2 linked regions of the Callithrix jacchus genome follow. The protein of the gene in region 2 interacts with the protein of the main gene of each other region in a biochemical or structural test. Links are inferred from orthologs where the notes say so. Each region holds a gene or a part of one and is shown on either strand. Other genes may lie near its edges.

Region 1 (6,241 bases), on a different chromosome or scaffold from region 2:
TCTGCTATCTTCCCAAGCCTCCATTCCACGACTCAGCCTCAAAACTGTGTGGCCTCCATGCATATGCAATAAGGTTGCTCTGTGAGGTCACGGGAGAATCTTCATCCCTGTTTCCTTTAAGGTAAGAATTCATCTTGGTGCTTTCAGAGTCAGTCTGAACCCTGGCTCTCTGAGACCCTCTCACAAATGAAGAAGAAAAAAGACCTTGGTAGTTAATCAACAATAACCACAACAAGAAGAATAACTAACACTGACAGTTAGGACGGGCTGTGTGCCAGACCTGGGCCAAACTCTATCTCTCCGTATCTCATTTAATCTCCCAAATGTCCTGATGATCCCTATATTGCAGGTGAAGAAACAGAACTTGGCCAGGCATGGTGGCTAATGCCTGTCATCTCAGCACTTTGGGAGGCTGAGGCAGGTGGATCACTTGAGCCCAGGAGTTCCAGACTGCCCGGACAGCATAGTGAGACCCTGTCTCTATTATGAAAAATATTTTTTAAAAGAGAAATAGACTTAATGAGGTTAAACAATTTGATTAAAAACAAATGGAACTTGGGGAGACATGAAAAATATACTTTCCCCAGGGCTATATTTTGTCCTAAGCAGATCTTAACTAAAAGTTTCTCTATTCAGAACCCCATCTGCCTTCTCTTGGTTCTGACCCTGTCTCTGAGGACAGAAATCTCAATATGGAGAAAAAAGAAAAGATGAATTCCTCTCTGTCACGGGAGACTGGAAGCTCTGTCACAAAAGTCCCAGCCTGGGTTTGTTGTTCTTGTTGCTCATGTAGATGACTTAGTGGTGTCAGATGGGAGCCCAAACGGAATATTCTGGGCTTTAAAGTAAAAGCCCGCAGCTCTGAGAAGCAAGAGTTTCCAGAGGGAGGTAGTAAATATTTGATGGGAACTTCCAGCTCCTCCTGACTTGGGTGACCCTGGTGACATTTCAGAACACTGGGCTGCAGAATTCATTTAATGTCTGAGAAATGAGGAGAAACAAAAGCATGTAGCTGCAATGCTCAGAGCTCAGAAAGGGCTCATGTAGGCAAATTCTGCAAGACAGGAAAGAAAGGGCTCTTTTTTCTTCTTTTTTTTTTAGGAGCTGAGTCAGATCAGCAGCAAACTGAGTAACCAGAAAGTGTATGCTTCTAGGCCAATGACCTACCCTTCCAAACTGCTAGGCACAGCCAGGGCCCTGGCTATCTGGTTCACTGTTGTCTTCCTGGTGTCCGCAAATGTCTGAACAAACCAACCACAGGAACTAAAGAAACCCCTGAAGGTGTCCTTAATAAGTGCTCAAGAAATATTTGAGAAATGAATGAATTGGTATCACCCATTCAACAACACAGCGTTCCTACTGCTGTGTTCCCAGCCCTGACCACTGGTGCGCTGACACTGGTGCCTCCTCACTAACACCAAACCACTGCAATGAACTCCCCTGACACATAGCCTCACTAACTCTCACAGCTCTGCATCCAGAGAACTATTTCCAGCTAACTTGGCTAACGAGGGCTCCCTGCAGGAACAAAGCCACACACCGCTGCCCTATGGCCCCACCACAGCAGCCCCGCACAACCCAAATCAATGTGTGGCTGCCTTCATGTCAGACCTCCACCAGCAACAGCCACTGCGGAGTAGTATTTTGAAAAGAGATGTGCAGATCTGAAGCAAAACACACAGGGCCTCCTTGGAATCCCGATTCAGTGTGGCAAGCCAGGAGCTCGAAACGGCTTCTTTATGCTAGATCTTAGCACAGAAAGGCGCAGGCCCCCGTTTCCCTACAAACCACGCAAACACTGTAATCAGACCTCTGCATGACACCTCTCCGCGGCTGCCACAGAACTGTCTCAAAGCTGTGCCAATGAGTTTGACTTGATTACAGACTCTGAACTAGGGGAAAGCCTGGCTTTCCTCCTTTCTGCCGAACCTGTCTCCCCAGCAGCACAGCCCCAAGCTGTAGACTTGGATTGTGACTATGGAGTAGCTTTTAAAGGGCAGGTGTCCAGGTGCCTGGGACTCTTGAGGGAGAGCCCTGGGGGAACGACTGATGACCTCTCCGTGGCCTTTCTGACCCTTCCAATGGCATCCCTGGAGTGACAGCTTCCTTAAACCACTCCAAAGTTTCAGTGTGAACCACAACCCCTCCATGCCTACCCAGACACCGCTTCTCTTTCCTCCTATTTTTGAATCTCTTAACTTTTCCCAGGCCTTCAGGGACAGGATAGGCAGTGGCTAGCGTCCCTCACCCTAAGTAATTCTGTGTTCTCTGCAGTCCTCTCTCTTGACCCCTATACTCCAAACCGCTTGCTCTCCTGAGTCGCACCCTGACGGTACTGGCCAGAAGCCAGAGGAGTGGGTTTGGCGCCACCTGCTCGGAGCACCCCTCCTCGATCCCCGCGAATCTCCAGGAGGGTCGTAGAGGTCGCTCCCTTCCAGGATTGGTGGGTTCCGGCAGTTGTGAGAGAAGCTAGGCGGGGACGCCTCGCCCCAAGAGGCCCGGAGCGTGGACAGCGCACGGGGTGCTGAACCAGGCATAGGAGGAGTGCCGGCAAGGGCACTGGCCCCGGGAGGAAGAGGTGAGCCGAGGTGTGACCCGTGGGGGCCACGGGCCGCGGGAGGAGGCTGTGGACGCGCAGCCACGGCCGGCAGGGTCCTGAGCGCCTTTCCCCGGAGCGCTGGCGGGAGGCGCGGCCCTTACCTGGCCGAAGGCGGAGCTGAGCATGGGGTGCAGCCGGTGGAGGAACGGGTCCGCCTCGGACGCAGCGGCTGGAACGGAGTCCCCGCGGCCCGGGGCTCGCAAAGAGCCCCGGAGGCCGAGCGCCGGGGACAGTCCCCGTTCCTCCCCATCCCGCCCGCGGGCCAGAGGCAGCGGCGACGACGGCGAAGGTCGGGACGCCGCAGCCAGCAGCGCCTCCCGGGGCCTGCAGTGCGCCTGGGGGAGCCCACGCTGGCTCCCCCGTGCGCCCTCCTCTCGTGGCGCCGGCCGGCACAGGGGCCTCCGCGAACTGGGGTCCCCAGACGACTGCGGCGTCCCCGGGCAGGAGCCGGGCAGCCGGCGGCTGGGCAGCCCCGGGTCCCGGGCAGGGCCGTGGCGTGGAGCCCGGCTGCCCCCGCTCGCCGCCGCTGCCGCCTTCAGCAGCGACGTCTTGGACTCGCTTTTGGCGATGTGCGAGCTCATCACGGCGGGGCCCGCGCTCGCATGGCCCGGCGGGGGCGGCGCAGTGCGGCGCGGCGCGGGACCCCCGGCGGGCAGAGAACGGGGCGCCCGGCGGGAGCCGAGCCCGAGGACGTGCTGGAGGCGGGCGCCGTCCCCCGGCCGCTTAAATGCGGCCCCGTCGCCGCCGCCCATGTGACAGCGCAGCCTCTACGCCCGGAGCCCGGAGCTCCCGGCGGCTGGCGGTGCAGATCTGGGGGCGCTGCCGGCTGTCCCCGGAGAGCCCACCCCCAGCTCCCTGGCGGCCCAGGTACCGCCGCGCCCCGCCCCTTGCCCCGCCCCACCCCGGGGGAGCCCCGCTTCCAGGCGGCCCCTGGTGGTGAAGGGGACGCAGCAGCAGCGTGGAGCAGGAACGCAAGGAGGGAAGGGGCTTGGCAACGGGCCCCAAAGAGGCCGAGACCCCGGGAGCTCCGGCAGCGCTCTTTATCACGCTGCGAGGAGGCTCCTGCCGAGCCCCGGAACCGCCCGAGCCTCCAGAAATGCGGGCAGGGTGCACTCTCCAGGGTGTACAACTTTGGCAATGAGGACCAGAGAGGTCCAGGGAGAACTGGAGACCCGAAGAGCATGAAGGCACTCTATGACACCACTGCCTACAAATGCAGGGGCCAGAACGCTATGCAGGACACTGCCGGGAGGAAAGGCTTCATCCACTCCGTGGGGGGCTGCCTCCACCCCCAGTACCATGCGGGGTACTAGGATGACACTGGTAAGTCAGCCGCAGGATATCAGTTCTCAAAATAGAAGAGAAGCCAGGTCTGGACAGCACCTGATGATGGTCAAGTCTCAGGTAGGACCCATTTGCTGCCCCTCCAGCCCTTGTCCCCTCTTTCACCTTCATGCCTTACTAAATGCTAGAGAAATTCCTGCACTTGGTGCGTAGCCAGGGAGCCTCCCAGGTCTGAGCTGAATCTCAAATGCCAGCTCTGCCACCTACCATCTGGGTAACTTGGGCAGGTGTCATCAACCTCTCTGAGCCTTGTTCTCTTCGTCTATAAAATGCAGATGAGAAGCATAACTAATTTCTTGGTAACGGCAGATGATACCACATACACAAAAGGCCTAGCCCAGTGCTTGGACAGGGCACAATCCAGTTAAGTCAGTTCCCTTCCCTCTATGCCTCATGAGGCCCCATCTACCACTCTGCTTTAGTATCTGGTGTTTAAGATTTGCAGGGGACTGGAGGGGTTCTCCCAGGCTCTCCCTGTTCTGGTCCCTGGACCCAGTGCCATCCACAGTCTGGTCACTGCTCAGCCTCATTAAAAGGATACACAAGGCCAGGCGCAGTGGCTGATGCCTGTAATCCCAACACTTTGGAAGGCCGAGACCAGCGAATCACTTGAGGTCCAGAGTTTGAGACCAGCCTGGCCAACTTGGTGAAACCCTATCTCTACTAAAAATACAAAAATTAGCCAGGCATGGTCGCAGGCGCCTGTAATCCCAGCTACTCGGAGGTACGAGAATCACTTGAACCCGGGAAGTAGAAGTTGTAGTGAGCCAAAATTGGGTCACTGCACTCCAGCCTGAGCACTGGGAGACACAATGAGACCCTCTGGCAAAAAAAAAGAAAAAAAGAAGAAGGATACAGAAACAGATTGCCAATATTATACTTCCCTCATGCCAGGGGTTCATCCTTCTCTGCACTGCTTCTTTTACTTACCCATAGGAAAGGAATTAAGGAAAATGGGATGGGCTGGGAAAGCAACTACCCAGAGGCTAAAGTGAACTAGGAAAGTGTGGCAAAGCTTTCCCCAGATCAGCTACCGTTAAGAGACTGAATTGCCATATCAAAGCCACTCAGGTTCCTAAAGCCCAAATCCTGAAGCAGGCCGGGGCACTGCAGCCCTGAAGGCTCATTGCAGGGTATGCTGGGATTTGCAGGATGTAATGAGTCCACCCTTTGAGTTTGAGGTCAGTCAATGTCTTACCTATTCCAGCCCTCAGAATAATCAGTGTTTGGCAGGATTAAAAACAAAGGCACATTCAATATAAATGACAGGAGATAAAGAACTTTATCAGAATCCCTCAGGAGCAGATGAGAGGCAAAGGACTGCCAGGTATTCTAAATCCCTGCTGTGCCACTCTTGGTAACCTTTCTGAAATGCCTAGATATTTTTGGGCAAGACCTCGGTCACCGACTAGTTTCTGAAAAACTGAAGAATCTGAGTGTGTTACCAGTGATTACTAGAGTAAATAAATGAAAATGATGGCATGAAGCAAATGGATGAAACGCCTGCGCTCATATCCCAGATAATCCTGGATGCGCACCAGGATTCCATTCCACTTGTGAAAGGTATTAATTTGGTCACTTATTTAACAACTATGTAAACAACCAGGCACTGCATTATGCATCTTGGATACAAAGATTGATCCAGTCATTCAACAAATAATTGAGGGCCTGTTATCTGTCAGGCACTGTTCTAGGTGCCAGGGATATGGTTGCCAACAAAATGGTCTCTATCCTCAGCACCAAATAAACAAATAAATAAATGCATGGAAAAGTAATGGTGACAAACTGGTGCTCAAGAAAGTTGCCATAAGGAGAAATCAAGCAGGTAAGAGATTAGGGCTTAATGGGGGATGCTACTGTATTTATTTATTTTTACACAGAGGCAGGGTCCACTATGTTGGCCAGGTTGGTCTTGAACTCCTGACCTCAAGCAATCCTCCCACCTCGGCCTCCTAAAATGTTGGGATTACAGGCATGAGCCACTGTGCCCAGCTGAGGATGCTCCTTTAGACAGTGATTAGAGAAGGCCTCTCTGCAGAGGGAACATCTGAGCAGAAACTAAAATGAAGTAAAGGATCGAGTCGTGTATATATCTGGGAGAAGAGCTTTCCTGGCAGAGGGGAAGCTGTTCAAAAAGTCCTGAGGAGGGAATAGCTTGGCATGTTCCAGGAGAAGCAGAGAAAAAGGAGGCTGGAGTGAGTGAGGGGAGAGTAGGAGAGATGAAACTGGAGAGGAAGGCAGGGGCCAAAAAGTCAATCACGGCTTTGGGTTTCCTCTAAGTGTGAAGGGAAGCCACTG
Region 2 (5,584 bases):
GGGATGAATGCAGGGTCGTCCAGGCAGCCCTGACTTTCATGGGAGTGACATTTGGCCAACTAAACTCATACATCGACACCCCTATATTGCTCTTGTACACCAGGATTTTGGCTGTGGTACCAAGCAGATAAAAGAACGGTTCAAGCTGTGCAACAGAGTGTGGGCTGATAGCCAACAGGAACATGTGTCTGCCCAGCTGTGTTGGAGCAATTGTTTGATGACCTTATTCCGTTAGGTCCTTATTTATTTTGTAAAATAAATGGGGGGAATGGTAAGCCCTAAGATAGTTATCTATTTCTCTTCCTCCAGCTGTGCTTTATACAGTAAGACCATATAGGAAATGTTAAAGATATCACATATATTAAGCCTAATTAGAAATCTGGTAACATTTTAAAGATTTTATATCATGTAAGTCACTCTAATTCCTACACATGTTAAAAAAAAATATTTCATGTACAAAAGTAGGGGACTCCTCACTTTTCATCTTCATTCAATTGTAAGTGAATGTGGTTAACTAGAATCTGACCAATTAAGGCACTCTTTCATTCACTTGGGAGAAGATTCAAGAAACATTAAAGGAGTAAACATACTTGAAATGTGAAATAACAACAAAGTGACAGGCTTTCAAACTAACAGACTCTGCCTGCTGAATTTAAAACCTTGGCCGAGTGCAGTGGCTCATGCCTGTAATCCAGCACTTTGGGAGGCCGAGGTGGGCAGATCATGAGGTCAAGAGTTCGACATCAGCCTGACCAACATGGTGAAACCCTGTCTCTACTAAAAATACAAAAAGTAGCTGGGTGTGATGGTGTATCCCTGCAATCCTAGCTACTCAGGAGGCTGAGGCAGGAGCATTGCTTGAACCTGGGAGATGGAGGTTGCAATGAGCAGAAATTAAGCCACTGCACTCCAGCCTGGGTGACAAAGTGTCTGTCTGTCTTAAAAAATAAAAACCCCATGTATTTCTAATACCCATGATTTGAAGATACTCTCAGCTTCAGTGGACATCAGGGAAATGCAGGTTTAGACATGATTCTATTTCACACTCATAAAATTACCAAAAATTAAAAAGCATCACGGTATTCAAGGTTAGCGAAGGTATGAAGAAACAAAAGTTGTCATCTACAACTGGTGGGAGTGTACACTGAAACATCCACTTTACAACTGCTTAGTAAAGCTTAAAATGTGAATATTCTCCAAGCCCAACTCCCAGTGTGGAATGGAAACTCATACATATACTCAGAAAAATTTGAATGAAGAAGTTTCTTGACATGAAGAACTGTGGCATGTGATCAAATACCAAACAGTGATGGAAAATGTGATAAATCAATAAAACAGAATATCATTTAGCAGCCCCAATTAAAGAAATGGATCAACCTCTATTAACACAGATATGCTTCAGTCCCATACTGAATAAATAAGGCTAGTTGTATAACGATATTTGGAGTAAAGTACCATTTATATAACATTTTAAGTACAGTTTAAATACTATATATGATGTATAGATGCGCACAAGTGTAGTACACAGAGAATGTAGACAGGATGCACACATCACACATGAATGAAAGAACAGAACACAGGAGGCAAGAAAAGGCATTTTATCTGCAAAGTTTTATTTATTTTGTTAAAAATAACAAAAGCTTTGATCTTCCCTTTCCTTTTTTTCTAAAGTATTTATTGGTTTGCTTCCCTTCTTTCTTCCCCTTCCCTTCCCTTCAGGTGGCACGGCTGGCAGGTCTTAGAGCAGGAGCCAAGGAAACACTGGGGACTGAGGAGGTGGCCGGCAGCAGTGAGACTGGTGACACACAGGGGAACGGGCAGACAGGCAAACATGGGAATCATGGCAGCTGGAGGGAGTCATTAAACGGAAAAGATGAAGGCTAGAATAAACTCTATGGTGTTGGAATGAAACTGGAAGTATTAGCGTAAGCATATGACTTTTATCATTTATTTGTGTAGACATAAACAAATATGTGGATGAATATGTAGGTATATGTACGTACACACACACACCTACTGGCTCTCTCTATAAACATTTGGTGAGATTGGCACTATCACCTTTATTTTGCTGATAAAGAAATTAGAGCATAAAATCAAACTTGACCAACGTCAAAAACCTACTAAGTGGAGAGGTCAGGAATTGACCCCACAGCCAGCCTCTTACCTACCTACCGCCATATCTACGGGCCATGCTGCTTAAGGACAAACTGTCACCAGGGGCTGATGCGAGCACTCATCCTTTTTGGGACCCAGCCACATGCAGATGCCAATTGACTGAAATCTTACACTCTAAACTCCTAAAATACACTTCTGGCTTTTACCTAGACAATCTTACCTTGTATCATCACAAGATGATACCTTGTGATTCCTTGAAGTAAACAACAAATGAACAACAAATTCCTAAGTGTCCCTGTTTCAGGGCACCCCAATCCGAGCTGCACTGATGTCCCACACACCTGTAGTAGCTGAGAACGTCCCGGTCCTCCTTCTGGCCTTCTTTAGCATCCTGCGCCAACTCCCTCACACTCTTGCTGCGAATCTCTTTGTTGCTGTCCCTCCAAAACAGCCACACCTCTTCCTCATCTTCTCCTGCCTCCAGAGCATTCTCTCCAGTGGAAGAAACACCTTCAAATTCAAAACGAGAAAGAACCAACCTAGAAAACAACAGGAGAAGGGAAAAGTTACTATTTTAATACGTTGAGATCCAGCTTCACTTTCAGCATAAAGACATATGGAGAGCCACTTTTTGTTTTATATTTTCCCCAGGGGCAGAGCCGTAGAGGGCCTGACATTAATGTCTTCATACACTGTACCCCAGTGCTCCACTCCAGTGCTGCTGCCCCCTGTGGACGTTAGGCAATGTCTCTGGACAGGATTTTGGTTGTCACTACTGAAATGGAGAGGTGCTAGAGGCATCTCAGTGAGTAGGGGCCAGGGATGCTGCTAAACATTTTACCGTACCTGGGACAGCCCCAAAACAAAGAATTACCCAGCCCAAAATGTAAAAGCACCTGAACTGAGAAACCCTGCATTCACCGAAGCCCAAAACTGAGTTATAAGGAGAATCAAAGAAGTACCACCAGCTCAGGACATAATTTAGTTTTTTTAAAAATAATACTGTCCATATTACTGACACTGTACTTGTCAGGGAAAACTGTTCCTTTGCCAAAAATGAATTACTACTGTTAACAAAAATTCTGCAGACCAATAAACACTTTCTGAACAGTAATTTAAAACTCCTCCCAACACTGACTTAATCTTAACAGTGAATATTAATTATGTCATTTGAGATTTTAAATTGATGATCATACTTACAAAGAGTTTTAAACTCTTGAATGTAACTGTGTAAAATGCCCCTTGGTGAGTTTACATGACTTTTAAACTTGTATGCCAAGTAAGTGGCACCACTGTGCAGAGGAGGCCACCCAAAATCAAATTCAGTAATTCTCCCACCAAGACTTTTCCAATAGGAAGATTGAATGCCAGCCACACTGACTTTAGATCAACTCAGAAAATGACGGCCGGGTTTTATTCCTCATGAGCGCCAAAACTGACTGAACCACAGGTTTTCCATCTACACCCCAGCTCCCCACTCACTTGGTCTCAATCAGGATGTCAGCGTTGGTGGGATTCAGCACAGCTTTACATATCAGTTCCTGGGTCACTGGAATCGATTTGTTCATGGAGACACAGAGGTCGGAGAGGTAATCTAAGAATCTATCCAGAAACAGACACAAAACATCTTCTGTAGACAGAGCAGAGGTTAGGCTCTTGGAGCCCAACTCTTCCTTAAGTGCACAGGTCCAACACACCTTTACCAAGACAAGTCAGCAGCATTCTAGGTCTCCATGTCAGTGTTTATGGCAGCCCTAGAAACCCACATGTCAGAAAGAAAGAAGAGAAAGCAACGAGGAAAGACAGTAGTGCTGTGATCAAGGAAGAGGTGATGAGGCAAAGATGAGAAGAAGGAACAAGACAAGAAAGAAGCTGACATGGAAGGGGTGTTGGAGACACAGGGGAACCACAGTGGTGACAGGCAGTGCCCCAATGTTGGCTACCATTGTTGGAAGCCCAGTTAGGATCTTATTAGCGGAGTTCTGATATGAAGTGTTATTTGGAGAAATTACTTAATTTCACTGTGCTCATCTACAGAAAAGGATAATGTGTCACTTCTGAGGGGTGTCCCGAGGATTAAATGAGATAATTCATGAAAAGTGCTTCCTTTGCTCACTACCTGGCCTGTGAGCAGACTCCAGAAAATGCGGGTTATTTTCATGGATGGTAGTAGGTGTTTTTACAGCAACTGTGTCCGCACTCCATTGTGATCATCTGTGAGACCCACACTGTCAATTGCTTCCCACTTCAACTGAAAATGTGGGTCTTAATTAGAAGGATAAGAGAAGGGGAAGGAAATGGGAGGAGGGCGTAAGGAAGAGGGGCAGATCTGTGTGAATGAGATACAATCAATATAATTCACTAATCTATAATAAAAATGCTCAACCAACAACTGAACTTGCAAGACTCTTACTGATTGTAATGAGGCGGGGAGTGTTTAACTGATAACCAAGAGGTGCTAAAACGTGAATGAGGCTGGGCTGGTGGCTCATGCCTGTAATCCAAGCACTTTGGGAGGCCAAGGTGGGAGTATAATGAGGTCAGGAGTTCAAGCACAACCTGGCCAATATGGTGAAACCCTGTATTTACTAAAAATACAAAAATTCCCCAGGTGTGGTGGCATACACCTGCAGTCCCAGCTACTCAGGAAGGTGAGGCAGGAGAATTGCTTGAACCCAGGAGGCAGAGGTTGCAGTGAGCTGAGATCATGCCACTGCACTCCAGCCAGGGCAACAGAGTGAGACTCCATCTCAAAAAAAAAAAAAAAAAAAAAGTAAATGAAAAAGTGAGATCCAGTCATTTGCAACAACATGGCTGGAACTAGAGGTCGTTATGCTAAGTGAAATAAGCCAAGCACAGAAAGACAAACATCCTACATTCTCACTTATTTGTGGGATCTAAAAATCAAAACAATTGAACTCAAGAACATAGAGTAGAAGGATGGTTACCAGATGCTGGAAAGGACAGTGGGAGGGCAGGGAGGAGGTGGGGATGGCTGATGGGTACAAAAAAAATAGAAAGAATGAATAAGACCTACTGTTTGACTGTAAACCGGGTAACTACAGTCAATAATTGTGCATTTTAAAATAACTAAAAGAATAGAACTGGATTATTTGTAACACAAAGAATCAATGTTTGAGGGGATGGACACCCCATTCTCCACAAGGTGATTATTACACATGCATGCCTATATCAAAACATCTCATATACCCCATAAATATATATACCTACTACATACCCACAAAAATTAAAAATTTTAATTAACATTTTTTAAAAAGTGAATGAGTGGCCAACAATTGTCATTTACTGCGCATCTACTAAGTGCCATCCACATCGCATGCATTTATTGTCATTTAATTTTCATAACTACCCATTTAGCAGATGAGGAAATTAAAGTTCAGGAAAAAAGCCAAGCTCACCAAGGTGGTACACACTGGAACTAGGATGCAACCCCCAGGTCTCATTTTAA

What was found. The genes of interacting proteins can lie anywhere in the genome.
Region 1: the proteins of ITPR1 (region 2) and CABP1 form a complex in vitro, tested with the Homo sapiens proteins (2 studies listed by BioGRID). The link is inferred for Callithrix jacchus from reciprocal best matches to the Homo sapiens genes ITPR1 and CABP1.

Annotation. Positions count from the first base shown.
Region 1 is NC_133510.1:123,771,161-123,777,401, reverse strand, and holds the start of CABP1 (calcium-binding protein 1), read right to left. Parts: upstream 3,412-6,241; 5' UTR 3,352-3,411; coding exon 2,701-3,351; intron 1-2,700. UniProt on the Homo sapiens protein: Modulates calcium-dependent activity of inositol 1,4,5-triphosphate receptors (ITPRs). Inhibits agonist-induced intracellular calcium signaling.
Region 2 is NC_133516.1:61,801,811-61,807,394, reverse strand, and holds part of ITPR1 (inositol 1,4,5-trisphosphate-gated calcium channel ITPR1), read right to left. Parts: intron 3,718-5,584; coding exon 3,598-3,717; intron 2,655-3,597; coding exon 2,457-2,654; intron 1-2,456. UniProt on the Homo sapiens protein: Inositol 1,4,5-trisphosphate-gated calcium channel that, upon inositol 1,4,5-trisphosphate binding, mediates calcium release from the endoplasmic reticulum (ER).